Lonchura striata: one gene and its partner. The protein of the gene in region 1 interacts with the protein of each later gene in a biochemical or structural test. Links are inferred from orthologs where the notes say so. Each region holds a gene or a part of one and is shown on either strand. Other genes may lie near its edges.

Evidence for each region.
Region 2: the proteins of perilipin-3 (region 1) and M6PR form a complex in vitro, tested with the Homo sapiens proteins (2 studies listed by BioGRID). The link is inferred for Lonchura striata from reciprocal best matches to the Homo sapiens genes PLIN3 and M6PR.

Annotation. Positions count from the first base shown.
Region 1 is NC_134630.1:5,987,979-5,995,576, reverse strand, and holds the start of perilipin-3, read right to left. Parts: upstream 3,097-7,598; 5' UTR 3,061-3,096; coding exon 2,960-3,060; intron 2,081-2,959; coding exon 2,023-2,080; intron 1,823-2,022; coding exon 1,627-1,822; intron 1,369-1,626; coding exon 1,286-1,368; intron 1,208-1,285; coding exon 529-1,207; intron 423-528; coding exon 232-422; intron 145-231; coding exon 22-144; intron 1-21. Other genes in the region: perilipin-3, read right to left, coding at 4,607-5,029, 5,254-5,367, 5,455-5,676, 5,713-5,784, 6,028-6,047, 6,810-6,996, 7,083-7,165, 7,418-7,598. UniProt on the Homo sapiens protein: Structural component of lipid droplets, which is required for the formation and maintenance of lipid storage droplets. Required for the transport of mannose 6-phosphate receptors (MPR) from endosomes to the trans-Golgi network.
Region 2 is NC_134604.1:31,647,861-31,655,174, forward strand, and holds the start of M6PR (cation-dependent mannose-6-phosphate receptor), read right to left. Parts: upstream 3,008-7,314; 5' UTR 2,908-3,007; coding exon 2,864-2,907; intron 1,496-2,863; coding exon 1,325-1,495; intron 1,129-1,324; coding exon 956-1,128; intron 866-955; coding exon 756-865; intron 557-755; coding exon 426-556; intron 1-425. Other genes in the region: KLRG1 (killer cell lectin-like receptor subfamily G member 1), read left to right, coding at 6,450-6,564. UniProt on the Homo sapiens protein: Transport of phosphorylated lysosomal enzymes from the Golgi complex and the cell surface to lysosomes.

The DNA.
Region 1 (7,598 bases):
GACACCCTGCCCTGCTCCTACCTCCGGTGGCACCTGGTCCTTGCCATCTCCCGGCTGCTTCTTGCTCCACTCCAGCCACAGCTGCTGCAACTTCTCCTGCCCGCCCTGCAGCCTCTGATCCACGCCCTGCCTCAGTTGCTCCACCTGGGAGAGGGGCACAGCCCGCCTGGGTGGAGGAGGCACCGGGGCCACACCTCAGGGTGGCACAGGGGGTGCGGGGCTGGGTCCTACCAGGTCGAGGGTGCGCTGGAGCTGGGCCAGCAGGTCCTGGCTGCTCTGGCGGGCGCTCTGCAGTTTGGCCAGGGAGTGCTGGAGCGCTCGGTGCTGCACCTTGGTGGAGAGGGAGCCCAGGCGCACGAAGTAGCTCTGCTGCTGCCTCTGCTGCTCCGGCTCGAAGCCCTCCACGGCCGTGGCCAGCTTGGCTGTGGGACAGGAGCTGCTCAGGGGGTCCCAGCATCACCATCACCACCCCACAGAGCCCCTCCTGCTCTGCCCACCCTCTCTGGAGGGTTGGGACCAGCTGCTCACCCAGTTCCTCATCCGTCATGGGCAGGTAATGATCCACCAGCTCCTCGGACTTGCCCAGCACGGAGCCCACCCCGCTGGTCACCATCTGGCCCACGGTGCTAACGCCGCTGCTGACCGCAGACCTGGTCAGCTCCACACCACCCTGCACTGCCCCTCTGGTCATGTCCATCACACCGGTCACTCGGCTGCTCACGGCGTCCTTGGCTCCGGCCACAGTGCTGGACACTGCATCCTTGGCTCCGGCCACAGTGCTGGACACTGCATCTTTGGCCCCGGCCACAGTGCTGGACACTGCATCTTTGGCTCCAGCCACAGTGCTGGACACTGCATCCTTGGCCCCAGCCACGGTGCTGGACACTGCATCCTTGGCCCCGGCCACCTTGCTGGACACTGCATCCTTGGCCCCAGCCACGGTGCTGGACACTGCATCCTTGGCCCCAGCCACGGTGCTGGACACTGCATCCTTGGCCCCAGCCACCTTGCTGGACACTGCATCCTTGGCTCCGGCCACAGTGCTGGACACTGCATCCTTGGCTCCAGCCACAGTGCTGGACACTGCATCTTTGGCCCCGGCCACCTTGCTGGACACTGCATCTTTGGCCCCGGCCACGGTGCTGGTCAGCACATCCCTGGCCCCTGTCACCGTGGAGGTCACCAGCAGTTTGGTGTCCGAGATGATCTGGTGGACACACAAACTCTGTTAAGCACTGGGGAAGCTCTGAATGTTCTGCCCACCCCACCCAGCCCACCCCGGTACCTTCTGGGGGGGCTGCTGCAGGATGGGCAGCTTCTCCTCCAGCTTGTCCAGCCCTTTGCAGGCCAATTCGTTGGCGGTGGAAACTGGAGATGTGAAAATAGGTGGGTTTAGCACCCTGCTGCCTTGCAGGAGCTCTTCGAGGGCCGATTTCCCATCACCCCAAAATTCAGGGGGTGCTACCCCTACATCTTTCAGCTTCTCCAGCCATTTATTCCTCAGCCATACAAACCAGAGACAAAAAACCAGACCGTCCCTCCCCGGGCTCCTCACGAGAGCTCGGTGAGAGCCGGGTTTGGGGTGCCCCAGCCCCGTGGGGTGCTGTCCCCCATCCCTGCACTCACTCTGGGGCTCCAGCCGGGTGAGGAGGGGCTGGGCCCCGCTCACCGCTGCCGCTGTCAGCGTCCTCACGCCCTTCTCGGCCGCATCGCAGACGGAGCGCACGTAGGGGTGGCTCTCCTTGGTGCACGAGTAGGCGGAGGACACCATGTCGTAAGCAGAGCTCACCAGGGGCAGGTTGGCCACGCGTGTCCCGATGTTCTGCGGGCCAGAAGGGCTCAGGGTGAGCGTGGCACTGAGGGACTCCCAAACCTCACCGGGAACGGAGCGTGTTGTGCGCCCCCAACACGCCGGGGATGGTTTTGGGGTGCTCCCGTGGCTCTCCAAGCCCATTGCAGGGTGGGATAACCCCGTCTGCAAGCTGGGACCCCGTGGATCGCCCCCACATTCCCCGCACTGACCTGCTGCTCCTCCGCCTTGGGCTGCTCTGGCGTGGGCTTGCTGGAGGCCATGGTGGGGCTGGGGGCACAGGTCGGGACCGTGAGTGGGGCCAGGCCCCCCCAGCACCCCCCTCGCCTCCCGGAGGGAGGACCCCGGGTTACCCCTCCCGGAACGGGGCAGCTCCCACGCGGCTGGAAAAACCCGGGACAGGGGGGCCCGGGCCCGGGATTGGGATAACAGGCGGGACCGGGACCGGGATTGGGATAACAGGCGGGACCGGGACCGGGACCAGGATCGGGATCACAGGCGGGACCGGGACCGGGATTGGGATCATAGGCGGGACCGGGACCGGGATTGGGATCACAGGCGGGATCGGGACCGGGATTGGGATCACAGGCGGGATCGGGACCGGGATTGGGATCAGGATCACAGGCGGGACCGGGACCGGGACCAGGATCATAGGCGGGACCGGGACCGGGATCACAGGCGGGATCGGGACCGGGATTGGGATCACAGGCGGGACCGGGACCGGGATCGGGATCAGGATCACAGGCGGGACCGGGACCGGGACCAGGATCATAGGCGGGACCGGGACCGGGATCACAGGCGGGACCGGGACCGGGATTGGGATCACAGGCGGGACCGGGACCGGGATCACAGGCGGGACCGGGACCGGGACCAGGATCACAGGCGGGACCGGGACCGGGATCACAGGCGGGACCGGGACCGGGATCGGGATCACAGGCGGGACCGGGACGGGATCACAGGCGGGACCGGGATCGCGATCGGGATCACAGGCGGGATCGGGACCGGGACCGGGATCGCTATCGGGAGTAGGATTGCGAGCGAGAACCGGGACCGGGACCGCCATCGAGAACAGGACCGGGATCGCGATCGGAACCGGGATCCAATCGGGATCGGAACCGGGATCGCGGACCGGCCCCGGATCGTGCTCACCGCTGGCGGCTGGGGTCGGCTCTGCTCCGCTCGGTTCGGCTCCGGGCTCGCCCCGCTCCTCCCCGCCGCCCTTTATACCCCGGAGCCCGCCCCGAGCGCATGTGACCGGAGCCGCCCAGCGGGGCCGGCCCGGGGCGCCCCGGGAGCAGCGACCGGCGGGGAGCGCGGGGCCGGGAGGCAGCGAACCCCCGGGAACGGCCTGCACCGAGACCCCCGCCCGGCACCGGATCCGCCGGGACTGGGCTGCACTGAGACCCCGGACCCCGTTCCTCGGTCGGTGCTCCACTGACCCCCCCGCTCCCGGTACCGGATCCCCCGGGACTGGGCTGCACTGAGCCCCCGGAGCCCGTTCCTCGGTCGGTGCTCCACTGACCCCCCCCGCTCCCGGTACCGGATCCCCCGGGACTGGGCTGCACTGAGCCTCCCCGGACCCCGTTCCTCGGTCGGTGCTCCACTGACCCCCCCGCTCCCGGTACCGGATCCCCCGGGACTGGGCTGCACTGAGCCCCCGGACCCCGTTCCTCGGTCGGTGCTGCACTGAGACCCGCTCCCCGGTACCGGATCCACCGGGACCCCGTTCCTCGGTCGGTGCTGCACTGAGCGCCGCTCCCCGGTACCGGATCCCCCGGGACCCCATTCCTCGCTCGGTGCTGCCCTGACCCCCCCCGCTCCCGGTACCGGATCCCCCGGGACTGGGCTGCACTGAGCCTCCCCGGACCCCGTTCCTCGGTCGGTGCTCCACTGACCCCCCCCGCTCCCGGTACCGGATCCCCCGGGACTGGGCTGCACTGAGCCTCCCCGGACCCCGTTCCTCGCTCGGTGCTGCCCTGACCCCCCCTGCTCCCCGGTACCGGATCCCCCGGTACCGAGCTGCACTGACGCCCCTTGCGCACCGGACGCTCCCGGGACCGCTCTACACCGACGCGACTCGCCGGGATCCGGCTGCGGTGACCCCCCCAGCCCAGAACTAAGGACCCCCCGCCCTTCCCGGGCACCGATCCCCCCACCCCGACCCTCCCAGGCACGGGGGTCCCGGTGTTCCCCGCACCTGGCCCGGTGGAGGCGGTGGAAGCGGTCCCGGGGGGTTCGGGCGGCGGAGGCCGGGCGGTTCTGGGGTGCCCGGTGTCACCCCAGCTGTGACCACGCTGCGCTTTGTGACGTCGGGGGAACCCCGGGGCGTGCCCAGCCCCTCCGCTGTGACAACTGGGACAAAGTTCAGTGCCACACGGCTGGGGGGTCACAGTCCAGGTGTCCTGGCACCCTGTGGCACCTTTCTCCCAGTACCCCATGGAATCCCGTCCCACTGTGTGCCACTGGCACCCCCTTGTTGAGCCCCCCTCGGGGGTGCCCCCGGGGTGGCTCTGCCACAGCGCTGCAGGCTCTGAGTAATTTTAAGGCCAAAAAAGTTGTTTTTTTCCTCTTTAAACTGGTTTGAAGCTGTTAAGACACGAAATTCCAGCATTCCAGGGGCTTAGGGCAGCCCTGGATCCCACACAGGCTCACACGGCGTCCTCCACGTGCCACCATCCCCACAGGAGTCCCCGGCCGTGACACTGGGGTGCCACGCCGGGTCCCCACGTCCATCCATCATCCCCCCATTCCCGGTGGGACTGGGGGTCGCAGCTCCGGGTGGGTGGCCCCGGTGGCTCAGCGCCGGCTGCAGACCCGGGGGGCAGCGGGCGCCTGGTGCGTCCCCCCAACGATGACAGAGCCCTCCCACTTGGACATATCCACGGGGGCATCCTCCGGGTACTCCACCAGCGCGGGGGCGAAAGGTCCCATGAGCCAGGGCAGGGGCGTGTGCTGCCCCACGTGCTCCAGCAGCCCCTCCAGGCTCAGCTGTGCCCGCGTCACGGCGTCCCGGCTCTGTGCCAGCACCAGGCCCGACAGGTCCTGGAAGGAGTGGGCGCTGGCCAGGGAAGCCTGGACACCCTCCACGCCGTGCCAGATGTGTCCCGCCGTCTCCTGCACGCTGCTGGGGAATGCCCGGGCACCGGTGGCCAGGTGGGAGCAGGCGGAGTGGAGCTGGTGCAGGAGCCCGTGGAGCATGGCCAGAGTCCGAGCCTCCACCTGCGGGGTGGGCAGCGGGCAGCGGGGGCTGGGGGTGATGGATCCCACCCCCCCATGGATGGACCCACAGCTGGACTCCGTGGCTGCTGTTCCACCCCTGTTCCAGGTGGCACCACCCCAGGTGTCCCCTTGCCATGTGTCCCCACCTCAAGAGACTCAATGGCTGCTGTGCCCACCCTCCCCAGCTGGAGCCATCTGTCCCCCACGGTCCCTCCACCCCGTACCTCGTTGTCCTCCATGGGCACCGCATCCTGCTGGCTCCACTCCAGCCACAGGTGGTGCAGGTGCTCCCGGGTGCTGTGCCAGGGCCCGTCCGTGCCCTGCTGCCCCTCCTCGATCTGGGGGGAGGTTCAGCCAGGTGGAGACACACCCTGGGGGTGCCTGGGGCCACCACGGGGCTGGCACCGTCCCTGCCCCATCCTTACCAGCCGGATGACGTGGTGGAGCTGGGCCAGGAGCCGCTGGGCACGGAGCCGTGCCCGCTGCAGGTCCCCCAGCGAGCGCCGCAGGGCCCGGTGTGGCAGCCGGGCTGACAGGGAGCCCACGCGGACAAAGTAGCTCTGCCACCGCCTGTGCCGCTCCTGCGTGGCCACCTCCGTGCCCCTGGTCACCTCCATGCCCCTGGTCACCTCCGTGCCCGTGGCCACCTTCGTGCCCCTGGTCACCTTCGTGCCCCTGGTCACCTCTGTGCCTGTGGCCACCTCTGTGCCCATGGCCATATCCGTGCCCGTGGTCACCTCCGTGCCTGTGATCACCTCCATGCCCGTGGTCACCTTCGTGTCTGTGGTCATCTCCTTGCCCTTGGTCACCTTCGTGCCTCTGGTCACCTCCGTGCCCTCCGTGCCCCTGGTCATCTCCGTGCCCGTGGTCATCTCCGTGCCCGTGGTCATCTCCATGCCCGTGGTCACCTTCGTGTCCGTGGTCATCTCCTTGCCCTTGGTCACCTTCGTGCCCCTGGTCATCTCCGTGCCCCTGGTCATCTCCGTGCCCTTGGTCACCTCCGTGCCTGTCGTTGCCGCTGTGGGACCGGGGTGAGGGCAGCGTGGCTGGGCCATCCTGTGCTGGGCACTGAAGCCCAGCGTGGGTACCCACAGGATGCTTGGCCACCAGCTCGTGTGGAGATGCCACCTTAAACCAGGTGGCCTCTGCGGTCACTTGAGCTGCGACATTGAGCTCTGCCTGATGTTACCCAGTGCCAAGCTATAAATACCCGGGCGGGCACACGGGACTATATTTGCTTTTGGATTTCCAGGTGAGAGTTCACCCAGTGCCATCCCCGTCCTTCAGGCAGGGCCTGTCCCCTGCGTGGGCTCACGGTGACCTCAGTGCTCTGGCACCGCTGCGGGGCCACCGTGTACAGCCAACGCCAAGACCGAGCACCAGGGTGAGGGTGTCAGGAAGGGCTTGGCACCCCGAGATTTGGGAGATGGTGGGCTGTCACAGTGAGCTCATTGGCACTCTGTGCCCCCTTCCCCGGGACCCTGTGGCTCTGATCAGATAACCCTGGACCCTCCTTCCTGCCCCAATGGGAGAACCAGGGAAGCCCACCCTGCCCAAAGTCTGTACAGACCCCTGACATTTCCTGTTTGTTCTCTTTTCCCCGCTCTCCACATGGACATCACAGAATAAAGAGAGCTGCACCAATATATCTGGGGTAAGAGCCTCTTTTGGGAATCTTTGCCATCTCCTGATATTCCTCCCCTCACAGCCTGCTTACCTCTGGGCTAGCCTAGGATATTCAGGGGGCTGTGCGAGGAGGGGAACGTCAGTGGGCACTCACCCAGCTCCTCATCTGCTGCAGGGAGGTACCGATCCAGCAGCTCCTCGGATTTGCCCAGCACGGCGTCCACGCCCGTGGCCAGCAGCCGCCCCACGCGGGTGCCCGCCACGGCGCCGAGCGCCACGCGCGTCCTGGCCAGCACCCTGCTCACCGTGCACGACAGCAGCTCCCGCGTCCCGGCCACCACCTGCCAGGGCACGGCGCGAGGACAGCTTGGTCCCGCTGCTCGCCCGGTGCCGGAGCCCTGCCCGTGCCCCCCCCGGCTGGCGTTACCCTCTCGGGGGGCTGCTGCAGGATGGGCAGCTTCTCCTCCAGCTTGTCCAGCCCTTTGCAGGCCAATTCGTTGGCGGTGGAAACTGGAGGTGTGAAAATAGGTGGGTTTAGCACCCTGCTGCTTGCAGGAGCTCTGCTAGGGCAGGGGTTTGGGCTCCCCCAAAACTTGTGGGGTGTTTCTCCTCCAACCCTCCAGCTTCTCCAGCCCTTTATTCATTGACACAAACTGATTTGTGATACTGTGCAACCGGATCATCCCTCTCCTGGCTCCTCAGCAGAGCAAGAATTGGGGTGCCCCATCCCCGTGGGGTGCTGTCCCCCGTCCCTGCACTCACTCTGGGGCTCCAGGCGGGTGAGGAGGGGCTGGGCCCGGCTGGCTGCCGCCGCTGTCAGCGCTCTCAGCGTCCTCACGCCCTTCTCGGCCGCGTGGCACACGGGGCGCACGCAGGGGAGCCTCTCCTTGCTGCGGCCGTAGGCCGAGGCCACGGCCCCGCGGGCACAGCTCACCAGGGGCAG
Region 2 (7,314 bases), on another chromosome or scaffold:
ACTCAAGAACAGCTGTAAACAGAAACCAGACCATAAAAGGTCTCCAACTTATCAATCTGGTTGTATTAATCTTTTAGCAGCATTATGTGAAGTAGTGCCTCCCAAACAGAAAATGAGTCAAGACTCCTGGTCTGAGTTCCCAGCTCTGGCAAAGAGCCATCATATAATTTTAGGAAGTCAAATCTCTCATGCTTCAGTGCACTTGTCCGTAAGCTATGAAGGAAAGTGTTTACTGAGAATGGACCAGCCCAGCATCATGCCTTGAGCAAGAGCCTTTGTCCAAAAAGCTCAGAGGCATAGTAACATCTAATGGTGGCAGTGGGAAAGTACACTGCAGTAATTTAGTCTTACTATATCATTTGCTACATTTCTAAATAGTACTGGAGATTATGACCCAGGCACAAACAGCTCTTCAAATGACTCACGTGATCAGCAGAATGGAGCCAACACTGAGGTGGGAATTCTCAGCTGGACAAGCCACACTGCTGTCCATTTCAAAGAGGTAGAAACACTCCTGCTCCTTTTCCCGCTCTTCAGAAATAATGCTGAATGAACTCTGCAATTTGGGAAAAGTGAAGTCATGTGAAAACATGCCCACACACACTGTACTTCACCAGGAGATAGTTTTATCAATGTTGGGGCAGCTGGGCACCAGACACTTGAGGCCAGCTCACTGTCCCCTCAAAACCTCTCTGCTCACAACCAACCATTGGTCTGGCAGCCCCCGATGCTCTCTCATCCCAGGTGTCACTCACCGCTGTAACTCCCCGCTTGCAAGAAATCATTATCACAGCTCGCCTCTTCTCACCACTGCAGTGCCTGCCATATGAATCACCTCCTTTATAAATCAGCATGATCCAGTCACCTGCCAGGAGAGAAACAATACAGGCTACAAATCCAGATCAGGAGGCGAAAGGCAGCTCCTGAGTAAGCCAAGTATTGAGTGGAATCGTACTTCCATTGAAGACCTGGGTTTCATTGATTCTTCCTATCACCGTGGTCTTTCCATTCTGTCTATCTGTTTGCACCAGGCCACCAAAGTCGTGCGAGGTGCTGTTGACCTCCCTGCACACCCTGAAATTGTAGACGTAGTTTTCTGTTTTGCCCTTCTCCACAGTCACGTTAAACCTGCAGCAGGGAGAGGACAGAAGAGACAGCCCATTGGATTACAAAGAACACTCGGAGCAGTGTCACTCCAGACCCGGCAGCCCATCAGAGACCAGACCACACTAACAGGGGGAGTCCATTCTGCAGTCTGACCCAAATCCTCCCTTCCCCTTGGCCCACTGCGCAGCCCCGAGGCCTGCAGGGTGTTGTGCTGTACCTCATGTGGCTCAGGGGCTCCAGTTTCTTCAGCAGGGCTCTCTCTGTCTGTGATTCACTGCTCTCATCACCAACCACATCACAGCTCCTCTCTTCGGACTGCTCAGCCCCTGCTACAGCCAGGGCCACAAAGACCAGCAGCAAGGCCGAGGTATGGCAAGGTGGTGACATCCTGGACACATGCCACAGAGAACACAGAGGATTAACTTCACAAAGGATTAGTTTCAGCCCCCTGCAAACTAACTTCAGGGTCATGGAGTCAATGATTAGCCACTTCCTCAGTCCTGACTGCAAAAAGCAGAAGCTGAAACAACTCACAGTTCACAAGAGACTAAATCTGAATCTCTTGCGCAGCCAAAGTCAAATCACTGGGCTGATTTGGGGCCCTCTTCTGAATTTGCTTTGAGACCACAAAAAGTTTTGCTGCTGAGCACATTAATTGGCTGCCAGAGCAGAGTCCAGCAGACTGAATGCTGGAGTAAATTTCAAGCATAGTCCACTGTTTGTTATGGTGTTGCTCTGAGAAGCCAGTCAGCAGAAAATTATTTATGAGGCCTCTAATCAATCATCTTCACAGCTCTCGTGTAAAGAGCTCACAGGGAAGAGCCACTGTGGTTAGTCAGACTCTGTTCATTCAAGTGCCTTAATCTTTATAATGATCTTCCCAGTATTCCTTTAGCTGAAAATCTGAAATACATTAATAATGCTAAACTGCAACTTCACAGAACCTTCCTTTCCTTCCCTTCCCAGTTTCGACTAGGGAAGAAGGAAAGCAAGGCATCCTATGTAAGATCCAATCAACAAGGCAGTAAGGAAGATAATAACAGTAAGAATTAATAATAGCAATAATAATAACAACAACATTATAAGACTGTAAGAGTTGGCTTTCAGGTTCATGCTAAAATCACAAATGAAACACTCAATGATGGCACCAGTCAAACAAGGCAGTCAGATTCCCCCCCCCCCGCTTCTTGTGTGGCAGATTTTGGTAAAGCTCCAGTCGTTGGTGGAAGGCAGGCCCTCCATTAAATAAGCACCTGGACACAGAGCCCGTTTGAGTGAACCTGATGATTTCCCCAGAGCCCCCGGAGTCCACAGCTGCTGAGCGGCTCTGCTCGCCACGGGGCACCAAAAGACCGCAGAAACCACGGAGTGGGCAAGGCTGGAAGGGACCAAAGTGGGTCACTTGGTCCAACTTCCCTGCTCAAGCAGGGTCACCCTAGCGTGGCACAGGATTGTCTACAGACGGTTCTGCGGTATCTCCAGCGAGGGAGACTCCACAGCCTCCACGGGCAATCGGTTCCAGTGCGCGGTCGCGAAATGAGGAAGCCCGTGACACGAGCACTCGTGACTGCTCTCTCCCAAAAGCAGAACCTGCGCTCAGCCCTAGACATGGCTTCTCCCGGCAACTTGCTGCGCCTCGCTGGGAGCGGCCCGGCCGAGCTCCTCCAGCCGGGGGCCCCTGCCCCAGACCCGCCCGGGACGGAGCGCGGCTTCGCCCCGCGGCCTCGCTGTGCCAGCGCCGCACCCGCCCACCCACCTGCGGCCGCCCGCGGGGAGCAGAGACCCGCGGCTCACGCGCATCCCATACTGGGCGGCACGGGCGGCACGGGCGGCACCGGCCTCCTCCGCGTCCCGACCGGCTCCCTCGGCTGCCCCGCGAGCCGGAAGCCGGGAAGAGCGTGGCGGAACTGGAGCCCGGCTCCAATGGGAGCGCGGGAGCGGCCGGGAGCGCCCGCCCAGCAGCGCTGCGGAGCGAATGATGCGCGGCGGGGAAGGACGGGCAGGGCCGGGGCGCGCCGGGGCACGCCCCCTTCCTTTCTGCCAGCCAATAGGCGATGAGCCTCAGCACGGAGGCTCCGCCCCCGCTCGCCGTTCTGCCAATGAGCGACGAGGGCGGGCAGAGAGGAGGAGCCCTCACGGCGCGGAGCCGGAGCGAGCCGCGCCTGCCGTGCCGTGCCGTGCCGTGCCGTGCCGAGGCTCCCGCTGCGGATCAGCGCCCACAGGGGCTCTGTGACTGTCCCTCGCTGAAGTGGCGCTCTGCCCTCTCCTGTGCCCCGCGCAGGTTCGGAGAGCCGCAGGCAGCTGGCCGCATCAGCAGGAATGAAGGGCTTCTCGGCTTCTCCGGAGGCGGTAGCAGTCCCTCTGTGTTGAGCTTTGCCATACCCACCAGGTGCCTCCAGAGTGAACTGTGTTGCAGGAGCAAGGCGCCTCGACCACTTCACAAACTGCTTTGTGGCCTTGATCCTTCTGATTTTGTCCCCACTTTGTGTCTCTGGTGGATTCTCCATGTTTTGTTCTTGTACTTTGGAATAAAGGTGCCTCCCCCAACTCCTGCAGATTTTACCACTGTAGAGGAATTCCAGGTCCAGCACACAAGGTTGGGGTGCTTGAGCATCTTGGATGTCATTAATAAAGCTATAAATGTGAGATGTGAGACTGGCCTGTTCAAAGGACATCTCTCTCCTTATGATGTGTTCCCAGAGCACGTCCCACTTTCCAGGAGTCTGCTACTGGAAGGGACACATCTTCTTCACCAGAGTTCTGAGACTTTTGCATCCTCTAGTTAAGAAAGAAATGCTGCAGTTAAAGAATGTACCAACATGCTGGAAAAGGTATGTGTCTGAGTGAAATTTGGGAGGTTCTCCCTCTGGTATGCTGCTTCAGTAGTGAAGAACTACGGAAGAAATGCTGCTGGCTCCTGGAAAACTGATCAGTTTAGTTCTACTGTGGCTCCATACTTACAGTATGGCGCAGCTGCATTAGTCAGATTTATTTATTCACACTTACATGTGAATGTAAGTGTGAATAAATAACCGAGAGTTGCCTTCATACCTTCTACAGTGTGATCCTTCCCCCTCTACTTCCTGTCTTACTGGTATTATGGGGAAAAAAAAGGTAAACAACATTAAAACAGCTCTTAATTCTTTCCCACAAGCTTACACTTCTCCACTTCTTCACAAATAGTGCTGTCTTTGTAGTCACTCTGGGTCAGCAGGCAGCCTGGGCAGTTTAAAAGTGACAAAACTGGCAGGAGCTGGGAGAGGCACCTTTATTCCAAAGTATGAGAGAACATGGAAATACTGGAGAGAATCTACCAAAGAAACACAAAGCTGGGATAAAATCGGATTTGGACACTTAAGCTGTGTCTTCTGTCTCTCTGAGCTTGAAAGCTCTCTTTAGACTTCTCTATTATTCACTGGAAGCATTTAGGAGAGACATTCTGCCTCTTGTCTTGCTCTGCTATCTTATGCCTTCCCCATCCTTTCAAGCACTCTCCCTATCTTGCTGTCCAGAGGCCCTACCTAGGATTGGAAGGAATCCTGTGGGTGCAATATGCCACCCTTACAGGCAAGTGAAGAAGTTTGCAGAAATATCCAGTCCCTTCCCCACCATGTGCGTTGTAACAATGGCAAATCCCATGCAGTAATTTAGAACATGTCACCAGAATTTAGAACATATCACCAGAAGGGGGAACAATCATCCCTGTTGGAGGTAGCAGTGATCCCAACTCCTTTGTTGAGCATGCCCAGACATATATTGCAAATTAACTGTAGTGTACTGTGCTGAAGAAGTGCAGCCTGAGCCTGACCAATATTCCCATTCTGAGCACAAAATGGAAGGGATCAGAATGTGGATTAAAACAAAAACCAGCCAACTATGCAGCTAGGAGATTTATTGGGGTGCTGGAAACATCTGTACTCCCCACCAGAATCACAGAATCTTTTAGTTTGGAAAAGACCCTGAAGATCATTAGGCAAGCCCAGCACTAAACCATGTCCCTAAGCTCCACATCTGCATATTTAAAAAAAATACTTTCAGGGATGGTGACTCAACCACTTCCCTGTCCAGTCTGTCCCAGTGCTTGATATCCTTTTCGGTGAAGAAAATGTTGCCGATATCCAATCTTAACCTCCCCTAGCACAACTTGAATTATTCTCATCAATGGTCAACACTTCAAAAGAAAAGTAGCTTTTCCTATTGTTGCTGACCATAGAATCACCAAATGGTTGAGTTGGGAAGGAACCTTTCAATGTCATCTGGTCCCACCCTCTGCTCAAGCCAGCCCACCTTCAACCTGGTCCACCTACAGCCCAGGACTGTGTCCAGGCCACTCACCACTGAGGGACACACCACAACATCTCTGGCCAACCTATGTCAGTTTTCAGCCACCCTCAGAGTAAAAAAAAGTGTTTCCTGGCAACACCTGTGTTCAGAGGAAACATCTTCTGTCTTTCAGTTTGTTACTGTGGCCTCTTGTCCTCTCACTGGGCACCACTGAAGAGTTTGACTCTTCTTGTACCCTCCCTTCCGGTAATTATATACATTAATTGGATCCTTACCAAGAAGTCTTTTCTCCAGGCCAAGCAGTACCAGGGCTCTCAGTCTTTCCTCCCAGGACAGAAGGTGTGGTCCCAAAGGATAACTCTTTGTGCCCTTTTGGTAGATTATCCTCAATATGCCCCTGTCTCCCTTGTACGATGCTGTTGAGATGTTGACTTGGATGTACTTGAGGAATGCCAGCTCTCAGTGCATACCTTGTGGCTCAAGCACAGTCACACTGATATTTGGTATAGACAGAGTTCCCAGTTTGAAGTGGAATTGTCCAAAGCTCACAAGGATTCAATTTCAAACCTGTGCTGTCCACCTTTATTCCTGTTTGACAGCAGTAGCGCTGCCAGTTTGCCATAGCCATTGCTTGTCCCATTTTTCACCTTGTACTCTCACTATTAACCTTTTTTACCTTGTGCTGTCACCATCCCACTGTTTCTGCCCTGAAGGGAGCTCCTCAGAGCCCACGAATCCTCCCAGTTGCTGCATCGGTGTAATCACACCCTCTTGCATTAGCAACAATTAGAGTGCCCCTCAACTTTGTCATTAATCACCTTTTCCATTAGTAGCTGTTCTTGAGACATCCTCCATCAGGTTAGAAAATGAAAGCTGCTGCAGTTCCACCACTCTCCATTGTTGTAAATTTGGTTATCTTAACAGCTGGAGATAGAGGTAGCAGCTTTATATTTCTTGTCTTCTGAATATAGCCTCAGGCTTCCTGTTTCACAGGCATTGAGCCCTGTTGCTTAACAACCTGATTGAAACATCCTTTTGTGCATGCTCCTTGCTTTGGTATGGAGGCAAGCAGATCAGAAATTTCTGCAGGTGATGAGAGCGAGGAAGTAACATATACTTCTCTCAAATTCTCTCAGACTCCTCCAAGGGCTAAAGCTCCACAGGAAAAAAAAGGTGAGGAAAGATGGATGAGGTAGGTCAACAAAAAATTTTACTTTGAGGGAAAGCAAGATTTAACAGAAACACTCTGAACTGGCAAGTGATTCTGAGTGCTGGCTTAGAGAGCTGTTGCTTTGGTTCTAAAATTACTGTGGATATTAAAGCTGATGAGTTAGAGACTCAGCATTTTCCCCCTCCCTCTTACCGACCTCCTTCAGTGTCTACTCCTGGGCATTCAACCCAGGCATCCTTTTCTTCAAAACTGGTTTGCAGTTGTCTGCTTGTCAGCAGCAAGAGGTTGTGAGCTATAGTTCTTTGAAGGGCAGGCAAGATGTGAATACAGATAAATTAGAGGCACATGGTGATCAGAGATCAGAGACAGAAAGCATATGAGATCATCCAGCCTCTCTTCTATGGGGCTATGCAGGATTCGTTTGTGATTTTTCCCCCGTTTTCTGTGTTCTAGTGTTACATACCTCCTAGTGAGCAAATTTTCAGCTTTTGCTGTGAAGCAGTTCTTCAGGGCACTTTACGATCAGGAAGATTTTCTTAGTGCCTTCCTTAAATTTTTTCTTTCCTTATTTCTTCTCCATTACCCCTGATTAGACCTGCAGATGTCACACCGAACAATTCATCTGGCAGCTTAGTTGAGAAATACTACCTTCAAAGAGTCCAGCTTTGCATTGGTGATCATTTTTTGTAAATATTTCCTTCATGCAAAATGGTGGAGGGGTTGGAACTAGATGAGCTTTAGGGTCCTTTCCA